Arabidopsis thaliana: one gene and its partners. Each later gene encodes a partner of the first gene's protein in a complex. Each region holds a gene or a part of one and is shown in the gene's direction. Other genes may lie near its edges.

Region 1 (6,505 bases):
ATATTAGTTATCATCCGAGAAACCTGGCGAGTATATGTTCTCACTGAAATATATGTTTTAATCACAAGAGAAACATCAACCAAGTTTATACTATGTCTGAAATAAATGTAGTCATATATGACAAATATACAGATAATACAACGTTATTTTACGTTATTTTTTTTTTCTTTTACCGTTAAAGTTCAAAATTTAATTACTAATGATGAACTTTTAAATATATTTACGTATAAAATAATCAAACATAGATTTAAAATAATTGTGACTATATGTCTCAAGTACAGTTAACTCGACCGATTAAAAAGATTATTATTGTTTGATTCTTATTAGAATTGAATTTTGGTGTTATGTTCTTTTTGTTAAAGGGTTTAGTTTTGGTATTATTAGGTTAGAAAGAGATATTGTACGCTTTGTAAAATCATTTTAATTAAGCAAATAATAATGTCTTGGTTGCCTCCAACAGACACTCGAACATGATTGTTTCTGTTAACTTCCGTTAATTTAGTTTTCTGATCACAAACACGAACTCGTGGGTCGGTTTATTTTTATTTCCGAGGTCAAATATTATAATGACTGACCGGGAATATACTTTCTTGATAAGAAAGTCATTATTTACACATTAGGGTTTTTAAGAGATTAAATATAATTTTCAATCTAAAGCATCTGCAATGATCATCAACTGAAGAAAATTATGATGAAAAGATTTGAGAATTTACATTCAACGACTAAACGAGTATGAATATATATGAATCAGATAACTTTTATTTTTAAAAATATGCATCATGATGGTCATGGCCTCATGGGCTATCAATTGTAAAGTCAAACCCTTTCAAGAAAACGTGGCAAGGTCATGTGTATGTACATTTGCCCACCAATGATTTGGTTCTATTGTTTTATGCTAATACGATGATTATTAGATAACATTCTCTTTGATGAGCACCATAAAAATCAGAAACTAGGTTTAAACTATTTTGGGTTGAAAAAACAAGTATAACTAGTTAGGTTGATAACTGTATACTGTATTTATAATAGAGCATTATTTCTTATAGAAACACAAACACATATATAATCTAGACAGAAGATTCTAAACATTTGATCGAACCATCGAAAATTTAATGTTTAATGGTTTGTATCATTAAGTGCCCCTTTTGTGAAACATTTAGTATTGAAAAGGGCACGTAGCTCCTTGATACTGGTAACGGCTTTTCCATAACATCAAAAGTTCAATTGGACGTTTCAAATCTAATCAATAGTATTTATTAGAGTAAATAAAAGATCCTCTTACGTTTTATAAATCTTATAAGTACACATGTTTGGAATCTCGGAGTATAAAAAGATACTTGGATAAGTGATGGCAGCTAATTGGATAAGTGGTGGACTTAGTTCAATATTTTTATTAAAAGTTTGCATATATATATATATATATATATATATATATATTTTAATAATTAATATTAATTAGAATTTAATTGAGCAATTTCGAGAATATTATTTAAGTTAGGTAAGAATTTTTTTGTACTAATTTATCTGTTTTTATTTTTACGAGAAATTAAAGATAAAGAAAAATTTATAAATTCTTTACTGTCGTTCTTTAACTCTTTTGAAATCGTTGATTATTCGGTTGGAGAAAATATCATATTTTTTATTTTCTTTTTCGAAATTTTGTTTTAAAAAATTATGACAGCTAATTACACGGCATGTAAAAAAGTAAAATATTTACTTTTATTTATATTTGATAAAAAAGGATGACATAATTTTCTGTAATCACCATAAGTCCATAACGTTTGCATTTAAATTATCAAAGACTAAGATAAGCCTAGAATAATTTAAAATGTAAACTATAGTATACGTCAGAACCTACAGATACAACCTTCCTCGTATAATCCCTAAACAGAATTTTAATTAAACATTTCCTTAACTAATTTACTTCTTAATTTAACTTTTAAATTCCTTCCACCATCGAATCACAATCTCTCTCTCTCTCGCTTGCTGTTACTCGCTTTTTCCCAGAACCGGCTTCGATTTTTCTAAAGCAGCCGAAATTTACGATTCCCAGAATTTTCCCTACTGACAAAATTTCACTTCAAATACAAATCTCGTCTTCATGAGTCTTCTTCTTCGTCCAAATTGAATTTTCTCCGCACACGAGAGTTGAATTTTGATTTTCGGCTGTTTATATGGTCTCCGGTCCCTTAGGGTTTTAATTCTTCTGCAGATCTCTCACGATGAGCGTTGCGAAATCCCAAGTATGGCAGCCATGCAAGAAGAAGAGGTCCTCCTCCTGATTCAATAGAGATCTATCTATATATATATAAGAGACCGAGATATATATATAGAGAGAGAGATGGCTTCTCGAACAACGCCTTCACGATCGACTCCTTCACGATCAACGCCTTCTGGTAGTTCTTCTGGTGGTAGGACACGAGTTGGTAAGTATGAGCTTGGACGAACTTTGGGTGAAGGAACTTTCGCTAAGGTCAAATTCGCTAGAAATGTTGAGAATGGTGATAATGTCGCTATTAAGGTTATTGATAAAGAGAAAGTTCTGAAAAATAAGATGATCGCTCAGGTATGTATTATACAATTCTCCAGCTGCTGTGTTCTTATTGGGAATCTGATTTACGCAGTTGTGATATAACCTTTGATTTTGGATTTTGTAGATCAAGCGTGAGATTTCGACGATGAAATTGATCAAGCACCCGAATGTCATTCGTATGTTTGAGGTTTGATTCTGATACTATAAAGCTGAATTCAAAGTTGTGTTGCACGTTTTGGTTGTTGTTGTTGTTCTATAGATTTGTGCTATAAGCTGAGATTCGTTTGAAGTTATGGAACATATTTGTGGTCCCTGGCTAATCATATGTATGTAATATAAGGGATTTGATTATTCTATGTATTTTTTTGGTATCTTTGTAGTTACAGATTCTCTTCTTCTTCTTCTTCTTCTTCTTCTTCTTCTTCTTCTTCTTCTTCTTCTTCTTCTTCTTCTTCTTCTTCTTCTTCTTCTTCTTCTTCTTCAGGTGATGGCTAGCAAAACTAAGATCTACTTCGTTTTGGAATTCGTCACTGGTGGGGAGCTTTTCGATAAAATTGTAAGATTTCATTGAAAGATGTGTTTTTTTTTTCTTAATACTATGTGGAAATGAGATCTTAATTCTTTAGAATTGTCATGTATTAGTCAAGCAATGGGAGATTGAAGGAAGATGAGGCGAGGAAGTATTTCCAACAGCTGATTAATGCGGTTGATTATTGTCATAGCAGGGGAGTTTATCATAGAGACCTTAAGGTTAGGAATCTTACTTTGTGATCCTCTTGCATAGGGTTTCTTGTGAATCAATTGGCATCAGAATAAAAGTTTGATGTGTTTGAATCATGTTGCACATTCTGGTTGCAGCCAGAAAATTTGCTTTTGGATGCTAATGGTGCTTTGAAAGTGTCTGACTTTGGATTGAGCGCTCTACCTCAGCAAGTTCGAGTGAGCATCGAGATATTGATTTCTTTTTCTATCATTTCATTGTAAATATCATAGTTCGATAATTCAGCTACTATGGCTTCTAAGGAGAAAGATTTCCATGATTTATTCAAAAGCTGATTTTGTGACCCTTTTTCTTTAGGAGGATGGGTTACTTCACACAACCTGTGGAACACCCAATTATGTTGCTCCGGAGGTATTAGCAACTGCTACTGAAAACTGACACACAATTTTCTCAAAACTTGAATTCTATTATTTTCTAGTCTCAGTAACCTTCTATATTTTCTCCCTAGGTAATCAACAACAAAGGTTATGATGGAGCGAAGGCTGATTTGTGGTCTTGTGGAGTAATTCTCTTTGTTTTAATGGCTGGTTATTTACCTTTTGAAGATTCTAACCTGACGTCGTTATATAAAAAGGTATTACGCTTGCCTCTTCTTCTTTTGCTTTTCTTTTGATACATATCATTTTACATGCTATCAGAAAGGCTTCAAGGTCTAGGTGCATTTGGGTGGCTGTATAAAAGCCTCTGTCATTTTTGTATGAGACGTATATAGCATAAAAGCCACCTGATTTTCTTTCTTCATAATTACAGATATTCAAAGCAGAATTTACTTGCCCTCCCTGGTTCTCTGCAAGTGCTAAGAAGTTAATCAAAAGAATTCTGGATCCCAATCCAGCAACGGTATATTTTTCTTACCCTATTATATAATTTATATTAGAGGATCTCTCCTTTGAAGAGGCAAAAGCTTCTATAGGATTGAGTAGATCTGAAGGCTTACACTGATTTTTTATATTGGGCAGAGGATTACATTTGCTGAGGTCATTGAAAATGAGTGGTTTAAAAAAGGGTATAAAGCACCTAAATTTGAGAATGCTGATGTCAGCCTTGATGATGTTGATGCAATCTTTGATGACTCAGGGGTAAGGCTAGTGTTCTTTTGTTTGTTTTTTTCGGTACTTTGTCCGGGATGATTGCTCAGTTGTTTTTGTTTGTTAATAGGAGTCTAAGAATCTTGTTGTGGAGAGGCGAGAAGAAGGACTCAAAACACCAGTAACGATGAATGCTTTTGAGCTCATCTCGACATCCCAGGGTCTCAATCTCGGTTCACTTTTCGAAAAACAAATGGTACAGAAGTCTGATACGTAAAGCTGGTCTTTAAATTTCGTCCCCCAAGGCTCTTATTTTGTTGACAATTTTTAACTATCTTTTTGCGGTTTTGGTCAAACCTAATAAGAAGTAGCTTTGCCACAAAATTTTAGTGACCAATACTTTTCTTTGGAAGCCCGTACTTAGTTTGATAGAAGTCGTCATTCTGATTGATAAGCTTCTCTGATTTCAGGGGCTGGTGAAACGAAAAACTCGATTTACTTCCAAATCTTCGGCTAATGAGATAGTTACAAAAATTGAGGCTGCGGCAGCACCTATGGGGTTTGATGTCAAGACAAATAACTACAAGGTTAGAATACTGTTACGTATTTACCCAATGCTGTGGAGTTGTGTATTGGTTTGTTGCTTCTGAATAGACCCTTTAACCATTTCTCAACTCCTTCAGATGAAGCTGACAGGAGAGAAATCAGGCCGCAAGGGTCAGTTGGCAGTTGCCACTGAGGTTAGCTTTCACAATGACCAGTGATCACCCTTTGTATGGTTGGCTGAACCTAATTTAAGTTAATTGACATCTACCTTCAGGTTTTTCAAGTTGCTCCATCTCTTTACATGGTTGAAATGCGAAAATCAGGGGGTGACACATTGGAATTCCACAAGGTATGCAAGGGTTATTAATGCTGATCAGGTTGTATCAAACCCGAGCTTGTCAAATGGTCTTCCAGTAACTGATGTTTGAATCTTTACCTTTTTGCATCCTTTCTTGCTCTTCTTTTAGTTTTACAAGAACCTTACCACGGGACTTAAGGACATTGTTTGGAAAACCATCGACGAAGAGAAAGAGGAAGGAACCGATGGTGGTAAGTATCTGCCTTGAATACTCTGTTTTTTAGATAAAGCTCCTAGAAAAGGAGAAACTAACGAAACATGTAAACACAAATCCTGTTTTGTTTCTTCATGTTTCAGGTGGTACTAATGGTGCCATGGCTAACCGGACAATTGCAAAACAGTCGACATAAGCTGTTTACTTTTTTCTAATATAGATTTTGTTCGTTATAAATTACTATAGTAGTACGGAGTGGTTTTGAAGTTAATACAAAAGGAAGCGTCAAGAAGTGGAGCAGAAGCAGTTTGAAACTATATTGGGGAATGGGGATTATTGATATTTTAATCATGTTTGATTCCATGGAATGTTGTGAATAGCATATGCGTGTTGCGAGGTTCTTGGCTTGAATCGATTAACCGGAAAGTAAAAGCTTTACAGATTTGGTTTTGCAATTTCTATATTGTCGGACGCTGAGATTCGATAGATATTTCAGTTCAAATGTACTGAAAACAAACTAACACTTGTGTGTGAACCAAATCGAAATTTATTTTCATAATTTTAAAACCTGAAAAAGGAAAGCGGACTGAAAACCAATATCAGTGTAGACAAAACAAACTGAATATATAGCATGACTTGAAGTTAGTGAGATTTTAAAACCAAAATCAAGGAAAGAAAAATATCAATAAAGATTATGTCGGACCAAATACTATAACAAAAATTTAGAGATGGAAAACTTGGTGGCCAAGTTACTCTGTATTAATAATTGAGGGCGAAGAAGATGTGAACAAGAACACCAATTCTTCAATTAGGGGTTTTGTTATTCTTCTGTATTACTCTCTTGTTTATTGCTAAGAAACAGGTAAGGCTGTAGCTAAGAGTGTGGAGGAGGAGGAGGTTGGTCTTCATAATTTGGAAACAACTAATGTGGATGTGGATGAGGAGTTTGTTCCTCACAGTTTGGATGAAGCTAAGGCTGTTGTGGATGTTGTAGATGTGGAGGAGGAGGTTGGTCCTGTTGGTTTAGAAACAGCTAAGGCTGTTGTGGATGTGGAGAAAGAGTTTGGTCCTCGTGGTTAGTGGCGGAGGCAAAGTTTTTCTTCAT
Region 2 (7,123 bases), on another chromosome or scaffold:
ATATGCAACACACTTGTAAATTAGAGAAATACCAGCTCATAAAAAAAAAGAGAGAAATACTCTAAAATACTATTAAACTAAATTTGTGTTTCATATATATTTGGTCCAACTGGTCAGAGCGCGAGTCATGTAATTAATAATTATCTTAATTTAATGTTTTCTATAAAAAAAGGTCTTAGAACCTGTTACAATAAAATAAAATATAAACTCTTGCTCTATAATTAACATGTTTTCAATTTATCTAGCATAAATATTTTCCAAACAAGAAAAAATGATAAAGTGTGTTATATAGTGAAAAGTTAAAACTTGAAAAAACAAAGAAACATAATCCATTTTAGAACAACTAAACATAAATTAAATCAATTAAGTTTTTAGAATATTATATATATATATATATATATATATATATATATACTAGTTGTATTTGTCACAATCAGGACTTAGGGAACCCCTCCAGTTTCTATTTGGAAATACCAACTTGTCCCATATTGAGAATACATTCCTATATAAGATAGGAATTTGGAAACACCCGAACAGTTATGGGATGGAACAAGAAGTGTGCTAACCTCTAACTGAAATATTAGTAAATAAAGAAAATTCTAAAAGTAAAAGAAAATTGGTTGTTACGCATCTAACATTCTCTATAGGAAATAGCCATCTCTATGATGATTTCATACTTTTGCCAGTTCCTTGGCTTATCTAGGATTAGCTCCATCATTTGGCAATCCGATTTACGAATTCTTCCTATCAAACTCACAACACTCTTTTCACTAGAGCAATATTGAAGTAGATCAAATATATTTAAAAGGTCATCTTCCTCCCCTAGCGACATAGCAATCAAACCTTTATGATTTATCTATAGCAGTAGACATCTTGTAAATTAAAACTTTAACTATATGAAATTTGAGAAATCCAGAACTTGAAGGAAAAAATAGCAACAAATATTTGTAGTAATAAGACCACTTTAATGAGGTAACTGTTATAAATGTGATGATTATCCATCACATTACTTCTCTTTCAAGAAAATGGATAGTTATCCAAAGTTCATTATTATCCCTCATCATTTTACATTATCTACTTAAATCCTAAGTAGCTTCCTCCCCAAACAATGGTAGTTATCATATCCTAAAGGCTAAATGTCTAGCTTATCTTAAATTCCCTATATATACGATGATGGACAAGAAGTGAGTAAGATAGACGAGGAAAAGGTGAACAAAAGGGCTTACGATCTAGGGATGATGAACCAAAATATTTTTCTTTTATGCCCAAACAAAGAAAAACTATTTTTTTACGATTTGCTTTTCCTTTACTCGTTAAAATAAAAGTATGACAGTTTAACATTTATTGCTCTTTATGCAAGTATGCAACCAATCATACCATAAGTTGCAATCAATATCTCACTTCAAATCTCCATACCACAAATGAGCCCAAGAATGTTATATGATCGATCACCTAAAATATTTTAAAACAAGTTTTAAGTCGTGTCCTACATCTATATGTGTTTTTTTTTTCCTTTAGTTAGAAGTCAAACAAACAATAAAATAGTAAGTATAATGATTGAAAAACTTGAGATCATGCTCTGATGTATAAATTTTTGGTCAACTCTTCCTCTTCGGTCTAATTTTTCTTCTTCTGTTAATACAATTATTTATGAGCAAGAATGATATTTTATTTTATCTTGAAATGGAGAAGCCACCATTAATGCTACAGTAAGGGTTAAGACGTGAAAGTGGGGCCAACCACTGTGTTGCCGAGAGAAAACTTAATTCCTTGAAAGTGAAGGGATCCAAAGTCAGAAATGACACACACACCCGTAATAAAGCCAACTAGCCAAGAGTTTTTTTTTGTTATAAAGAAAAAAAAAAGGTCTCACTCATCAACAACGAGTGAAAAAAAAATGTGAAACCAATAAAGCCAAGAGTTAAGCTGCTTATTTTGCCTCTTTTGCCGAAACCAAAAGAACAAAAAAAAGGAACCATCAAAGAGGAAGCCAAGAAAAAAAAACGTCGGTGATGAGAGGAGGGGCTTTGTTATGCGGACAAGTCCAAGATGAGATTGAACAGCTTTCGAGAGAGAGTAGTCATTTTAGTCTTTCTACTGGAATTTTACCTTCACTTGGTGCAAGAAGTAATCGACGAGTTAAGCTTAGGAGATTCGTTGTATCTCCTTATGATCACAAATACAGGTTTCACTCTTTTGTTTTTTGTTTTTCTTGTTTCTCTTCCATGTCAAGCTAAGAAGACGATTACCATTTTAACTTGATATATATTTCAACTATATAACTTCTGATTCTTTCATTTATGAGGATCGGAAACAAGAAATTAACTTTACTTTAGGATCATAGTTAACAAATTTGTATTTTATTAAATGAATACTGAATATAAAAAAAAATTGTATTCTTTTTAATGGTTGGTGATCAACTTTTGTAATTTATTGTGGGTAAATACTATTAAGTATATGCACTAGATTAACTAACCTTATTTTCTATGAGTTAGGTGAATAACTATTTGGTTAGGTTACAAGTTTACCCTCAAAATAGTAAGAGTTTCATGTTGGTTTTAAACAAATAACATGTTATTTTATCTTATTGGACTATTTTATTTGAAAAATGTTTTAATTTCTTCATAAAATAAAAAAATTACGTGCAAATAAAAAATGCTAGTTGGTCAAACAACACAAAAATGTTGGTTTCCACGTTTTTTTACCTCAACAACAATTGATTTTTAATAATAATATTTTCTTAGGTTAATTTGAAAATTTTAACTACTTGACGACTAAAGCTCCCTTTTTACTCAACATTTGGAATATTCAAATCCTAGTTCCCTAATATTCAAAAAAGAAGATCTATAAATGTGAAGGCTATTGTAGAATATTCAAGGCTCCCATTATTACTCTCGTTGGCTAATTAGCTTAAAAGCCGCCTTTGCTTTTGGCTTTTGCTTTTTGGGGATAATTTATAGTAATTGAAAAAGAGAATGTGGAACATTCAAGGCACTCATTACTTGATTTCAACGACTGATATCAAATCTGATATATTACTATAACCAAAAGTAGAAAAAACTGTACTTGGTTGTTGTATCCTCAATAGCGTCATCAAATAGTAACATACTATTGAAACACAAAGTACTGATAAATTAAATATGAGACTTACTTGGATATATTCATGCAGTAACTTAAGAGATATGTTCAACTACATGTAGAAAATGTACTAGATTATTGAATATGACTGAAATGGAAATGTTGACTACAGGATATGGGAGGCTTTCCTAGTGGTTCTTGTGGTTTACACAGCTTGGGTTTCGCCTTTCGAGTTTGGGTTCTTGAGAAAGCCAAGGCCACCACTATCTATCACCGATAACATTGTGAACGCATTCTTCGCCATCGATATCATCATGACATTCTTTGTTGGTTACCTCGATAAATCGACTTACCTCATTGTTGATGACCGTAAACAGATTGCATTTAAGTACTTGCGTTCTTGGTTCCTTCTTGATCTTGTTTCAACCATTCCCTCAGAGGCTGCTATGAGAATCTCATCTCAGTCTTATGGATTGTTTAACATGCTTCGTCTTTGGCGTCTTCGCAGAGTCGGTGCCTTGTTTGCCAGGTTAGAATCACTAAACTTTTCTTCTTTCTTTCATTATTTTCTTTAATCTTGACATTCTCTGTTTAACAGACTAGAGAAAGACCGCAACTTCAACTACTTTTGGGTCCGATGCGCAAAACTCGTTTGTGTAAGAACATCAAAATGTTTTGCTTCTTATAATGTTATCTTTATTCAAACTACTACACTCTCGATGTAGTAATAGTGTAGATACTAACCAACCAGAGCATTTTTGCAGGTCACTCTTTTTGCGGTTCATTGTGCTGCATGTTTCTATTACCTTATCGCAGCGCGCAATTCTAACCCCGCAAAGACCTGGATTGGTGCAAATGTAGCAAACTTCCTAGAGGAAAGCTTGTGGATGAGATATGTGACTTCCATGTATTGGTCCATCACTACTCTAACCACTGTTGGTTATGGTGATCTGCATCCTGTGAACACAAAGGAGATGATATTTGATATCTTCTATATGCTCTTCAACCTCGGATTAACCGCTTACTTGATTGGTAACATGACAAATTTGGTAGTCCATGGAACAAGTCGGACTAGAAATTTTGTAAGTTAGCATCTTCATATCCATCTTCAATCTTTGAAGCATATCCATCGCGGTTTATAATATTTTGTTCTCATTTTGCAGAGAGATACAATCCAAGCTGCTTCAAATTTTGCTCATAGAAACCATTTACCACCTCGTCTGCAAGATCAAATGCTTGCACATTTATGTTTGAAATACCGGACTGACTCTGAGGGTCTGCAACAGCAAGAAACTCTTGATGCACTCCCAAAGGCCATTAGATCGAGTATATCACACTTTCTTTTCTACTCCCTCATGGATAAAGTCTACCTGTTTCGAGGAGTATCCAATGACCTGCTTTTTCAACTGGTATACTAATGACAATGCATGTGAAAACATCATTCATATCCCATTTTCAACACACAAATGAAGCTACCACTACTTTGTACATTTTACAGGTCTCAGAAATGAAAGCTGAGTATTTCCCACCAAAAGAAGATGTTATCTTGCAGAACGAAGCGCCAACAGACTTCTACATCCTTGTGAACGGAACCGCGGTAATAAAACATTACAAAGTTCTCTACAGATTTGTTGAGTTGACATAAAACTTACTTCTCTTACATATCCGTTATGATGCAGGACTTGGTGGATGTAGATACTGGAACAGAAAGCGTAAGTCGCGTCACTTGATGGATGTTTCTTATTTTATGTTTATCCCTTTTGTCTCCATACCTGTGATCTTGGAGTTATGATGTAACTAAGCATTCACAAAGAGAAGTTTATGGAGAATTTCAGATTGTGAGAGAGGTTAAAGCTGGAGACATTATAGGGGAGATAGGGGTGTTATGCTACAGACCACAACTGTTTACTGTGAGGACCAAACGTTTGTGCCAACTGTTGCGTATGAACCGTACAACTTTCTTGAATATTATTCAGGCCAATGTTGGTGATGGTACCATAATCATGAATAATCTACTTCAGGTGAATAAACAGATCCTTCTGAGGTTTTCAAATATTGAAAACAGAAAAGTATCTATGAACTATTACTTACTTGTTCTCACTCTCTTTCTTTGTGGAGAGCAGCATTTGAAAGAAATGAATGATCCGGTGATGACGAATGTTCTGCTGGAGATAGAAAACATGCTTGCACGGGGTAAAATGGATCTTCCTCTCAATTTATGCTTTGCTGCAATAAGAGAAGACGATTTACTTTTACATCAGTTACTAAAGAGAGGACTTGATCCAAATGAATCGGATAACAATGGCAGAACACCTCTGGTCAGTCAAGTTCACATTCTTGTTCTGTTATTTTCTTCTCATCCAAGCTCTTGGAGACTATAACTTATGATCTCTTTTTTTTTTCTGGAAACAGCATATAGCAGCATCAAAAGGAACTCTAAATTGTGTTCTTCTTCTGTTGGAGTACCACGCAGACCCCAATTGCAGAGGTACTTGCTTGTTCAGTTCTGGTACTTCCCTTTTGATTTCAGGATTTCTTCTGAAGTATTGAGCTTCTTGGTTTCTTCGAAATGTAAACGCAGACGCGGAAGGGAGTGTACCACTGTGGGAAGCAATGGTGGAAGGGCATGAGAAAGTTGTAAAGGTACTGTTAGAACATGGCAGTACCATAGACGCAGGGGATGTGGGTCATTTTGCTTGCACGGCGGCTGAGCAAGGAAACTTGAAACTACTAAAAGAAATTGTTCTTCATGGTGGAGACGTTACTCGTCCTAGAGCCACAGGCACCTCTGCGCTCCATACCGCTGTATGCGAAGAGAACATTGAGATGGTAAAGTATCTTCTGGAGCAAGGTGCGGATGTTAACAAGCAGGATATGCATGGTTGGACGCCGAGGGATCTTGCTGAGCAACAAGGGCATGAGGATATTAAAGCCTTATTCCGAGAAAAGTTACATGAGAGGAGAGTGCATATCGAGACAAGTTCTTCGGTACCTATACTCAAAACCGGGATCCGGTTCCTCGGAAGATTCACTAGTGAACCCAACATCCGTCCTGCATCAAGAGAAGTGTCTTTCAGGATTCGAGAAACAAGAGCAAGACGTAAAACTAACAACTTCGATAACTCGTTGTTTGGTATATTAGCAAATCAAAGCGTACCCAAGAACGGGCTAGCTACGGTAGATGAAGGCAGAACTGGAAACCCGGTGAGAGTGACGATTAGTTGTGCAGAGAAAGATGACATAGCCGGGAAGCTGGTACTGCTTCCTGGGAGTTTCAAGGAGTTGCTAGAATTGGGTTCCAACAAGTTTGGTATTGTTGCTACCAAAGTTATGAACAAAGACAACAATGCAGAGATTGATGATGTAGATGTTATAAGAGATGGAGATCATCTCATCTTTGCAACTGATTCTTAACAACCATAGAAACTCTCTGCCACATTCTATCACCTATTGTTATTAATGACAAGTTGATAACTCTTGTTTTTAACAACTTTGTCAAAAAATGAAAGAGACAAAGAATGCTTAAAGGAAATATATATGCAGACACAACAACCAAAAACACAAGCTGGACCGACCATTGACGGTCTGCTACTGACTACAACAAGTTTTTCCGCAAAAAAGAAGAAAAATATTGTTAACCAGTTTGGTGTATCTGATTATCAAATCAAGAAAAAGGTAAATTCACTGGGAAGACACAAAATATCAAAAGCTGAAAACTCAAAAACCTCTTCTGAAAATTTGCCACTAAGTGGTTTCTAGATTGTGGAGACCTTGGGGACTTCAACTGGGAACTCATGAATTTCATCCATCCATGGGTTCTTCTCTTTCTTAGGGTTTACCGACCTTACCGCTCTCCAAACCGAGCTGTTGCACTTGAACCCCGAACCAAAAGCTATCTGCCAAATTCTATCACCTTTCTTGATCCTTCCTTTGGCCTCACTATATGCTAATTCATACCACAAAGAAGAACTGGACGTGTTACCAAAACGGTAGAGTGTCATCCTCGAGGGCTCCATATGCCACTCTGTGAGTTTCAAGTTCTTCT
Region 3 (5,168 bases), on another chromosome or scaffold:
GAGCTCACCAGTAATCGTTATGTACATTGTGAGTAGATGATGCAAATCACAATGGCAACAACTTTATAGAATCTTAATATAGTGTTTATACTACATATTTTGTTTTTTCTCTCGTCTCATTTACATATCTTGATGTATATATTTTTTTATATGTTCAATTTTTTTTTTTGCAATTTAAAACTGAAAACCCAAACATTACTTCATTAACTATCAATTAGGATGTCGGTTTTCTTAAAAGAAATATTTTTATAGCATTAACTATATCTCATAAGTATAAAAGTTTTGGACATGGCATCTAAATAGTTGGAGTCTTTGAGATGGTTTTGACTTCAGCTATATAAGTAAGTCTTAGGGTGTTTAATTTAGAGTTTGAATTTTAAGCCTTTGAGTCTGTCAAAACCTAAAATAGGCACAAACCAAACAAAAACAATCAGATGTTTTTTTTTGGTTACAGAATCTTTAAATTAGACTGTTCTAGATTCTCAATTGGCACTAACACAACTAAGTATGTTCCTAATTGGTTGAAAAGTCATAATATTTGTCCTTGCACAAAATGTGTAAACCATAAAAAGAAGAATAAAACCTCCAAGTCAAATATTTTCTACTAATTTACAATAACTCTTTTCTAGAATACTAACCACCAATAACTTAAAAAAGCAGTTTGTCAACAACATCCAACGACTATTTTTAGCTGCCTTCTCTCACAAGTCACTATTATAAATGACCTTTTGGATTCATTAGCAAGAAACAACACAAATCATTCTTTACCTTCATAACAAAAGTCACTATAGAAATTACCTTTTGATTCATTAGCAAGAAACAACAACACAAATTCATTCTTATTTACGTTCGTCAAAACCATGACGAAAGAAAACCCTTCAACCCTAAATCTCGGACAACCTAAGGCACAAGAAAAGTATTCCACAAGTTTAGCCAAGATCAACCCTAAACCCTCCGGTAGCTCTACCGTTGAATCGAAGAGCCAAGACAATAACTCACCTAGTTTAAAACGTTGGAGATCGTCCTCCGGTAAATCTACGAGGCTAAATTGTTTATGTTCTCCGACGACACACGCCGGTTCTTTCAGGTGCAGGTATCACCGCGTTGATTCGTTGACACGTGCCGGGTCTATTGGGTCGAACCTCGCTGTTTTATTGTCGTCCAAGTCGAGCCGGTTTAGTGACTCCCTCAAGGCTCAGTAAACCCGGTTACTGGATTTGTTCGGTATAATAACTGTCGGTTTTGTTATTTGTTTGTTTCTTCTACTTCTTCTTTTGACATTGTTCAATAATTTTTATCGAAAAAGACATTGGTCTGTATTACTAAACCGCTTGAAATCGGCTTAACCCGATTCAAGGTAAACTTTTATCTAATTTTCACCAATTTGATTCAAATTTAAGCATTTATTACATACACATTTTATATGCTTCAAAAATACTTGAAATGAATTTTTCTGTCTACATTTTATATAAAGAAAATATAAAATAATTTTACGAAGTCAGAAATAATACGCAATATAATATATTTTTGCAAATTTATATATATTGTAAACGTTTTGATGATCACATTATTTTTAAAATTTCTGAAGATATAATTGAACTTATCATTTCGGGAGGTTCGATTTTATATGTTACTTGTCAAAAATTTAAAATTTGACAATAGAAAAAAATGGCTATATCACATATTATCTTTGATTTTGTATGATTATTTTGCATTTAACATCGTAAAAAATGTACTAATTTGAAGATTTTTTGAAAACTTAAATTCTCCAATAGCACAATAGATCATATATTCTATGGGTGAATGTGAAATTCAAATTTATGTCCGGTTCAATTCAGCTCGAGTTTTACTTAACCGGAACGAAAATCAAATCGAACCGTATTTTGAAGAATAAAACGACGACGATTTGAGCAGATTTTTCAGGATTTAATTTGTAATAATGCAAAAAGATTGAGTTTTTGTTGTTTGTTGAGATATTTAAAAAGATTCTTCAGGTTTTAATTTGTTTTCCAACTCTCTCCTCTGCTTTACAACAAATCGTCTCCGTCTTCCTCGCTCAGCTTCAACAACCAGAGCCGACTTGAGATTGAGAATCAACGTAATCGGTAAATTTTCGTATACGCAAATCCATTCTACTCATTTTGAGTTCACTTACATATCAAGATTCTTCTATCTCTGTTGAATCTGCGATTCACGAATCCATTAGGACGATTTTTGGGGATCTAGATCGGGTTTTGTTTCTCAGAACCTGTAATTGATTGTGTAATCCTTGAGTTCATTAATGTATAAATTCAAATTTCCCAATTTGGGTTTGTTTCTGATGGATTTTATTAATTTTGTGTGTCCATAAATTGTGATGTTTAAGATTAAAATTTGGTTAATGAGCTTTGATTAAGTCTTTAGATTCTCCATTAATTTTCTTATCTTCTTCAATATTGTATATATTATGTGGACATAACTGAATCATCTGAATAGTAAAATCATGATAATGACTTCAGTTTCTAAGCAATGTTTGTGTTGCCTATATTGACTGACTTATTTAGATTACTCTGAATTTTGCAACTTGTGTTACAGATACTCTCGCAAAGTCTCATCCTTTCTCAGCAAAAAACACTAGGAAATGGTTGAAAGGTACAGTGTTCTTCATATGCTTGCTTCTGTAGAGCTGTTTTTTGAAATTAGCAAAACAAGTTCACAATGTTTTATATGCAGGCATGGAGAGTTTTGATTTGCTGCTTAAGATATATCATGTCGCAGTGCGTTGACGGTATCAAGCATTTATGCACCTCTGTTTTAGGGTGTTTTGATCTTGATTTGTATAAACAATCTGGTGGCCTTGGAGATCCTGAATTGCTTGCAAGAGACACTGTTTGTATGCCCTATCACCTTCTCTACTCTTTTTTTTTTTTTTTTTTTCCGGTTATAAGATTCGATGCAATACCATTTGAGGAATGCAAAAATATTTCTTCTGAAGACTATTGATGATTGAATTTGGTTTTGGAATGCAGTTAGTGTGAGTGAAATAGAAGCTCTTTATGAGCTTTTTAAGAAAATCAGCAGTGCCGTGATTGATGATGGGCTAATAAACAAGGTATAACTCTAACTTGTTTGATCTTCTTCCTCATTTGGTAAAGCTTTAGTGATTGATCTAACAATCTGTCTAATTTACTCATCTCTTGTTTGTATCAGGAAGAGTTTCAGTTGGCTTTGTTTAAGACAAATAAAAAAGAGAGTTTGTTTGCAGATCGGGTAATGTTTCTTTCTTCACATTATAAGTGTTCTTAAACCCATTTTTGTCAAGATCAAGTTTAGAAGAAATGCTGAAATATGTGATTTTGTTTCTAGGTTTTCGATTTGTTTGATACAAAGCACAATGGAATACTGGGGTTTGAGGAATTTGCTCGTGCTCTCTCCGTCTTTCACCCAAATGCGCCTATAGATGACAAAATTCACTGTACGTCCCTTTTAGCTTGTATCTCAAAAACAAGATTGGGATAACACATTAATGATATATACTATTTTTTTGCAGTTTCATTTCAGCTATATGATCTTAAACAGCAAGGGTTTATCGAACGGCAAGAGGTAAAGCTTCCATATCTTCAAATAGCTTCATATATAACCTTGTAGAAGTGCGCTTTATTATCCTCACTGACATTTTCGTCCATCATTTGTCCAGGTGAAACAAATGGTTGTCGCTACGCTTGCTGAATCTGGAATGAATTTGAAGGATACTGTCATTGAGGATATAATCGACAAGGTAAGTTACTTACTTTTTTTCCTCTTCACCCTATATTTTTTCTTTGAAAGTAATTTCCCGAGTTTTGAATGTTTCAGACGTTTGAGGAAGCAGACACAAAACACGATGGAAAGATCGATAAGGAAGAGTGGAGAAGCCTTGTTCTTAGACATCCCAGCCTTCTGAAGAACATGACTCTTCAATATCTCAAGTGAGTTCCAAATCTTTCTATTTATATAACCAGGATTGAATCTATTCAACCAAATTCCTTCTCTGGTTTCTCTTTCTTCTATTCTCCATGATATGTAATAAAGGTCGTGATCCTGTTGTGTGCTTGCTCTGCAGGGATATCACGACTACGTTTCCAAGCTTTGTGTTCCATTCTCAGGTTGAAGATACCTGAAAAAGCAAAAGCAAAAGCAAGCAGCGGCAAGACATCATTGTATTGTTGAAGGTTGTTCTTTCGTTATGGTTCTTTATTTGTTACATTTCTAAATCTCTGAACTCATTTTATTTTTTATTGAGCTTTTTTTGTGAAGCAAAATTCTTCTTTTTAGTTTGGTTTTTGTCCTTTTTGATTTCGCTCGGTCTATCTGTAGATACAACTTTTGCATCTTGATGTTATGGTAATGTAAAGTTTTTCAGTTTATTTATTAATCCAATTAAAAAGATTTGCTTCAATCTCTGTGTTTTGGTTATTAGAGTTAGCTTTTAATATTAATTCAATGGATTTCTAGATTGCAAGCAAAACTAGTCATTTCATATGTGACTTGTAAGCAAAACTAGTCAAAACTGAGTGATGTCACCAGCCCTCCTAATGACGAGTTTTCCGAGATCAGCTCCACAAGAATCAACTTACATGATGACAAAAAGTGGATCTTCGATGAGACGCCATTAGAGAGAAGAGGAGATGATCTTACCAACAAGGGTATACGAAAGCAGAGCTTCGGGGGATGGTTGAGAAGCAGAGACATGAATAATGTTCTTCCAAAAAGAAGAAGAGGTGAGAAAAGGGAAAAAAAACCTAATTGAAGAATTAGCGATTTTCCCTCACCAAGAACCCTACATTAATACAAAAGGAAGTGACTTGCCAATCAAGTTTCCCATCCATTGTAGATGAGGGGAACATTGTGTTTGTAGTAAGGCAATGGAAGAATGACTCATTTATGCTTCAATGACTTCCATGTTCTTTCTTGAGGAGAAGGAAGACCATTCTTCTTGTTTTGCTACACAAGACTGAAATAAGAAACCTCTTCTAAAAGTTCTTCACGCTCCATGTAGACTATCTCTTTCTCCAAGGAGCGCTTTTCATTTAGAAAAAGCAACTTTTACTCTTCATCTTATCTTCGGCCATACTAGACGCAAACTCAACTTCAAGATCAAACAGTGCTTCTAAAGCCAACTCAACTCAATAGCCATACTTCATGCCGTC
Region 4 (4,991 bases), on another chromosome or scaffold:
TTTTGTAATCTTTCTGCTTTAAAAATCTCTATGAAGTAGTCTCAAAGATAATGTATCGAAGGTCTTTGACTTGTAAAGCAGACCTATTTCGTTTTGACGCTTGATAATTTAATCAATAAGAGATTTTATTTTTTTTAATATGCTTTCTACTGTTAATACATCATCAAATAGTAGCGTTTCCAGATGGATGTTTGTGAAAAGTCATCAAGTAAGTCATATTTGTGAATTAATCAAAACCGCACTTCATCAACCAACCAACCAACCTCCAAAGAATTTGGGCTTCAGTACTAACGTCCTTTAAGGGTGTAACACATTACTGCTCTGCTCTTATTGCCGCAACTAATTTGACTCAATTTTAAGTACAAAATGGACCATTAAACTGTTGTCACTTGTCAGGACCACCGGCCCAAAATTAGTAGGGACCTTAGGACAGTTTGATATTAGTCTTTTAGTAAAAAAAAAGTTTTTTTTGTTTATCTATAAGAAAATACAATATTTTTTTAATAGATCTTAATTTTCTAAAATATCAACAGTCTATGTTTATTTTTGTGTCTGATTTAAAAAAAATTAGTTAGTTATCAAAACTTAAAACAAAAATATTAGGTCCAGGACTTTGGCATCTCCCACTTTCTTGAAAAACATGGATACTGTATGGACCTTCTTGTTTACTATTGTCATAATCTTTTTTCTCATAATCTTTTTACTATACTCATAATCTCTCCTCCTCATAATACATCTCCCACTTTCTTAACACCTCATAAGTCTTCTCATAATCTTTTTACTATCATAAAAGTTTCTGCTTGTATTGGAATGAAAGAATTTGACCATTTAATTTGGAATTCTAAACCCAATATAAAATTATAAACCACTCTTACTAGAGCCAGGATCCCAGTTTCAAATTTAATATACGTAACATGCATGATTTGGCCATGTCTTATGGATATGCTAATCCATTTCTTTTTTTTAGGCGAACATTATATAGTTTACATTATTGGATTGTTGGATGGCGTACGTACTTAATTAGTTTCAAAATTTGATAATATACATGATTAGATCATGTCTTATGGTTTATATAAAAGTAATTATGTTAATCCATAATTCTTATTTAGACCGCCTTTATACTATTGGATTTTTGTTTGTCCTACGTGATTGATTAGACTACTAAAATGTGACCAGAATTATTATAATTCTTCGTTTATCCCAAAAGGTATATGACCCATATTGAAATTATTATCAAACACACTCTACATGAATCTTGAATATATAGATAAATACAGTAATTAGTCCCCTTGCTAGTTGGGTTATCATATTAATATTTATTTATTGCAAGATCTTGAAGACTATGAGATCTTGACATCTGTATGGATTATGAAAATGAAAGATCCAATTTGAAAATTATATCTTATACAAATAAATATCATTCTTAGTATCTTTTGAGTATGTTAAATCTTGACTCTACAAGTACTAGTTACCTCTCTACACTTTTTTTTTCTTACAGTTATAAACTTACATAAAAACAAAATTCGAGTCTAAATATTTTTCTTTTAATAAAAAAACAAAAACAAAACAAAATCATTGCAGAATTGTAAGAAAACTTGTAAAAATGATTAACTTTCTTAACCAATAAAAAAGGAAAGTTGAAAGTTGAAATTTCGAAACTAAAATGTCAAACAACAATAATGGCTTTGTTTTCTTCCCACACTGTAATAAAAATAAAATAAAAATGGGGTTGGTAGAAAAAAAGAGGTAAAAATGACAAGGATGTGTTTCACACGCGTTCAGACCCTCACACGTGCGACGATCATGTTATAAACAAACTCTCTCATAATTTCCCCAATCGGAGGCCTCTGACGAACAAAAAAAGCCCAGCAAAGTCTGAAGTTAATCTCAGCCGTCCGATCAATTCATCTACCATCGTGGTCAGAGATCTTCTTCTTCGTCTCTCTCTCGTTTCTCAAAAATCAAAATCCCTTCCTCTCTCTCTCTCACCGAGCCGGCGAGCCCGTTCTCTCGGTGGTAAGTGCTCAATTTTTCGATTTCACCATTCAGTTTCTGGGTTCGGAGATTCTCGAGCCGCTCCTACATTACCTGTTTAATTTCCGATTTAATATTCAAAATTTTGTTAATCTGAATTCGATTGCCACATAGCTGCTGCTTATTTTTTCTAGGGTTTATACTTATTCAATTATCGTGTTCGTCTTTTAATTCAATTTTTGTTGGGTTTTGTTTTTGATTGAATCATTGTAGTTTTTAAAGATGCTTATGATGATGATGGGGAGTGAGTAATATCAGAAATCAAGCTTTTTCACAATCTCAGAAATTGTAGTAGAGTTTGGCGATTTTATCAACCTCCGGAACAAGCTTCTTCTTCTTCGTTTTACTCTTGTCATCCGTAAATGGGTTGTTTCCATTCCACGGCTGCCAGAGAATTTCCCGATCACGAAAACCCTGTGAAGCTTGCTTCTGAGACTGCTTGTAAGTTTACTTGCACTATACGTTTCGTTTTCTCTTCTTTGCTTTATTCTCAAAGAGCATGAGCATAAAGATCTCTCTTTTATCAATTGTTAACTGATATGAGAATCTGTTTTCGCCATTTATTGAATCCGAAAAATGGTTCTTTCATTCATAATCTATTTGATCTACAACTTTGTTAAATGATGCTTGTTGTTACTTAAGTCATCACATAAACCTATTTCAATAGTTTCTTGGATCATTAGTGTAGTTTACTTCTACTTTCAAATGGAATCTTAATCAGAGAAAGTTTTCAAGAACCATCACTTTCGATTTTTGTTTTGGTGATATACATGATGTTGATGAGAAATCTCGCAGTGTGGCTAATTATTTGTTTGTTTTTCTAGTTAGTGTTAGTGAAGTTGAAGCATTGTATGAATTGTTCAAGAGCATAAGCAGCTCGGTTGTTGACGATGGCTTGATAAACAAGGTAATGATAAATCTCATAGCCCTTTGATTATTTCGCACCTCATGGGAGAATCTTGAATGCGTGATGTACAGTGACATAATAATATTCATTGCACCATTATCCATATTCCGTATTATTTGTCAACTTTCTTGACTTTCACAAATTTATTATTGAATCTCCATGCTGAGCTGTGGGCTCCTTATTGCTCACCAAGTCTCTGTGTTGATGATAGTTGACTTGAATTTTAATTCCATTTTTTATATTGGTTTGCTTATAAAAATTGATGTTTTCTTGGCCCACTCTTGGATATTGTTACTTATTTTCTCGACCAACTTGTTATGCAGGAAGAGTTTCAACTTGCTTTGTTCAAGAACAGAAAGAAAGAAAATTTGTTTGCCAATAGGGTAAATTCTAAGTTTCTTTGGCCTTAGTAACTTTGTAGTTAGTCGTAACGATTAGTTCTATTATAAGTAGTTAATGGTAATGCTCTTTTTTCCAGATATTTGATTTATTTGATGTTAAACGAAAAGGCGTAATTGATTTTGGAGACTTTGTGAGATCACTCAATGTTTTCCATCCTAATGCTTCCCTAGAGGAGAAAACAGACTGTAAGTTGACCCATAAACGAGTTTATATCCATCGTCGTTTCTCTAAAGCCTTGCTGTACTTTTATTCATGTTATTCTGTATTTCATATATCAGTTACCTTTAGGCTTTACGACATGGACTGCACAGGCTTCATTGAGCGCCAAGAGGTAAACAATGGTCCTATATCTTCACATTCCATTCCCAAACAATCTATGTTTCAAAGACTTTCAGTATTATGGATTCTGCATCATCTATAAGTAATCATAATTGTGTATGCGTTTTTGGCAGGTGAAGCAGATGTTGATTGCACTTCTCTGCGAATCTGAAATGAAACTGGCTGATGATACAATAGAGATGATACTTGATCAGGTTTACTTGTTGTCTATTACAAGTTTGTTTTCTGTCAAAAGAAAGACTGTTTTATGAAACTCGAGTTTTTTTTTCTTTTCGTGAACAGACATTTGAGGACGCAGATGTGGATCGGGATGGAAAGATTGATAAGACAGAATGGAGCAATTTCGTTATCAAAAACCCATCTTTGCTTAAAATCATGACTCTTCCGTATCTCAGGTATGTCTCCTTACTATGATACTTCCATCTATTTGGCCAGTTTTGGTGCCATTTTCCAAGTTTGAGGACTTAAAAACTCAATTTTAGGGATATAACGACGACATTTCCGAGTTTCGTATTTAACTCGGAGGTGGACGAGATTGCGACGTGAAAGAGACAAGACAAGCTGGTTTATAGAGACCAAGTCGTAGGCTGGACCAAGAATAAAAAGAAGATTGATTCCAACAATGTTATATAGCAGGATCGAGCTCTATTTCCTTTGGAATTTTTAGTCTATTGGATTTCAATTTCATGTATTGCGATTACTTTTGGCTCTCTTTCTTTAACAGTTTTGAATACTCAAGTTGTAGTTCTACGAAAAGATTAATATAAAACCACAATTTCTGATTAAAGATTTGATTTTGCTCATAAATTATTCCAACACTTTATGTTTTATGTAACGAGAAATCAAAGTCAAATATGCTTAGACAGAAGAAATTAGCCATATAAATCAATTTATTATTATTAAGGGAATTGAAAACTTCAAAAATACCAAAATGAAACTAAAATTATAATCAAACCAGACCTGAATTTATTGTAACCGATAAATCCGAATTGACGTGTGTGGTGCCGGCTTTGAGATGAAGACAGACCAATGATGATCCCAGTAGCTAAAGAACTCAAGCGGATTCAGACATTCCATGCTGTGGAGTGATTCTCTCTAATCCCCCTGTACGGCGACGCTTTTACATATCCTCCATGTTCTTTGACTACAAAAGCCAAGTTTGAGGATCATTTAGTTGAAACTCAAGAGTTCAGACAAGAATCATTTGTATGAAACTCAAGAGTTGATACCAAAAAGAAATTTCTCACGGAAGATGACACTTCCCCTGGCACAATCTAGATGAGCGTGATAGTGGGACGTTGTCCATATC

The links.
Region 2: CIPK23 (region 1) and KT1 share a complex: the UniProt entries of both Arabidopsis thaliana proteins name them as parts of the K(+)-channel calcium-sensing kinase/phosphatase complex.
Region 3: CIPK23 (region 1) and CBL2 share a complex: the UniProt entries of both Arabidopsis thaliana proteins name them as parts of the K(+)-channel calcium-sensing kinase/phosphatase complex.
Region 4: CIPK23 (region 1) and CBL9 share a complex: the UniProt entries of both Arabidopsis thaliana proteins name them as parts of the K(+)-channel calcium-sensing kinase/phosphatase complex.

What each region holds. Positions count from the first base shown.
Region 1 is NC_003070.9:10,652,929-10,659,433, forward strand, and holds CIPK23 (CBL-interacting protein kinase 23), read left to right. Parts: upstream 1-1,871; 5' UTR 1,872-2,341; coding exon 2,342-2,566; intron 2,567-2,657; coding exon 2,658-2,720; exon of another isoform or gene 2,721-2,859; intron 2,860-3,017; coding exon 3,018-3,089; intron 3,090-3,175; coding exon 3,176-3,283; intron 3,284-3,391; coding exon 3,392-3,472; intron 3,473-3,611; coding exon 3,612-3,665; intron 3,666-3,762; coding exon 3,763-3,888; intron 3,889-4,064; coding exon 4,065-4,154; intron 4,155-4,273; coding exon 4,274-4,393; intron 4,394-4,472; coding exon 4,473-4,598; intron 4,599-4,812; coding exon 4,813-4,929; intron 4,930-5,025; coding exon 5,026-5,082; intron 5,083-5,162; coding exon 5,163-5,237; intron 5,238-5,355; coding exon 5,356-5,437; coding exon of another isoform or gene 5,438-5,454; exon of another isoform or gene 5,455-5,543; coding exon 5,544-5,596; 3' UTR 5,597-5,972; downstream 5,973-6,505. UniProt on the Arabidopsis thaliana protein: CIPK serine-threonine protein kinases interact with CBL proteins. Binding of a CBL protein to the regulatory NAF domain of CIPK protein leads to activation of the kinase in a calcium-dependent manner.
Region 2 is NC_003071.7:11,331,334-11,338,456, reverse strand, and holds KT1 (K+ transporter 1), read left to right. Parts: upstream 1-1,718; 5' UTR 1,719-2,012; coding exon 2,013-2,185; intron 2,186-3,038; exon of another isoform or gene 3,039-3,250; coding exon 3,251-3,607; intron 3,608-3,676; coding exon 3,677-3,734; intron 3,735-3,842; coding exon 3,843-4,160; intron 4,161-4,241; coding exon 4,242-4,487; intron 4,488-4,576; coding exon 4,577-4,675; intron 4,676-4,757; coding exon 4,758-4,790; intron 4,791-4,913; coding exon 4,914-5,099; intron 5,100-5,201; coding exon 5,202-5,396; intron 5,397-5,490; coding exon 5,491-5,566; intron 5,567-5,659; coding exon 5,660-6,492; 3' UTR 6,493-6,607; downstream 6,608-7,123. Other genes in the region: KCS11 (3-ketoacyl-CoA synthase 11), read right to left, coding at 6,834-7,123. UniProt on the Arabidopsis thaliana protein: Highly selective inward-rectifying potassium channel that mediate potassium uptake by plant roots in response to low K(+) conditions, by a calcium-, CBL-, and CIPK-dependent pathway. Positively regulated by phosphorylation by CIPK23.
Region 3 is NC_003076.8:22,669,441-22,674,608, forward strand, and holds CBL2 (calcineurin B-like protein 2), read left to right. Parts: upstream 1-1,672; 5' UTR 1,673-2,105; intron 2,106-2,574; 5' UTR 2,575-2,631; intron 2,632-2,712; 5' UTR 2,713-2,748; coding exon 2,749-2,872; intron 2,873-3,008; coding exon 3,009-3,091; intron 3,092-3,189; coding exon 3,190-3,249; intron 3,250-3,345; coding exon 3,346-3,454; intron 3,455-3,529; coding exon 3,530-3,582; intron 3,583-3,676; coding exon 3,677-3,757; intron 3,758-3,834; coding exon 3,835-3,947; intron 3,948-4,081; coding exon 4,082-4,139; 3' UTR 4,140-4,190; exon of another isoform or gene 4,191-4,415; intron 4,416-4,473; 3' UTR 4,474-4,660; downstream 4,661-5,168. Other genes in the region: AT5G55980 (serine-rich protein-like protein), read left to right, coding at 861-1,202. UniProt on the Arabidopsis thaliana protein: Acts as a calcium sensor. CBL proteins interact with CIPK serine-threonine protein kinases. Binding of a CBL protein to the regulatory NAF domain of a CIPK protein lead to the activation of the kinase in a calcium-dependent manner.
Region 4 is NC_003076.8:19,129,133-19,134,123, reverse strand, and holds CBL9 (calcineurin B-like protein 9), read left to right. Parts: upstream 1-1,819; 5' UTR 1,820-2,016; intron 2,017-2,247; 5' UTR 2,248-2,396; coding exon 2,397-2,475; intron 2,476-2,858; coding exon 2,859-2,941; intron 2,942-3,264; coding exon 3,265-3,324; intron 3,325-3,419; coding exon 3,420-3,528; intron 3,529-3,621; coding exon 3,622-3,674; intron 3,675-3,795; coding exon 3,796-3,876; coding exon of another isoform or gene 3,877-3,933; exon of another isoform or gene 3,934-3,964; coding exon 3,965-4,077; intron 4,078-4,164; coding exon 4,165-4,228; 3' UTR 4,229-4,484; downstream 4,485-4,991. UniProt on the Arabidopsis thaliana protein: Acts as a calcium sensor involved in abscisic acid (ABA) signaling and stress-induced ABA biosynthesis pathways. Contributes to the regulation of early stress-related CBF/DREB transcription factors.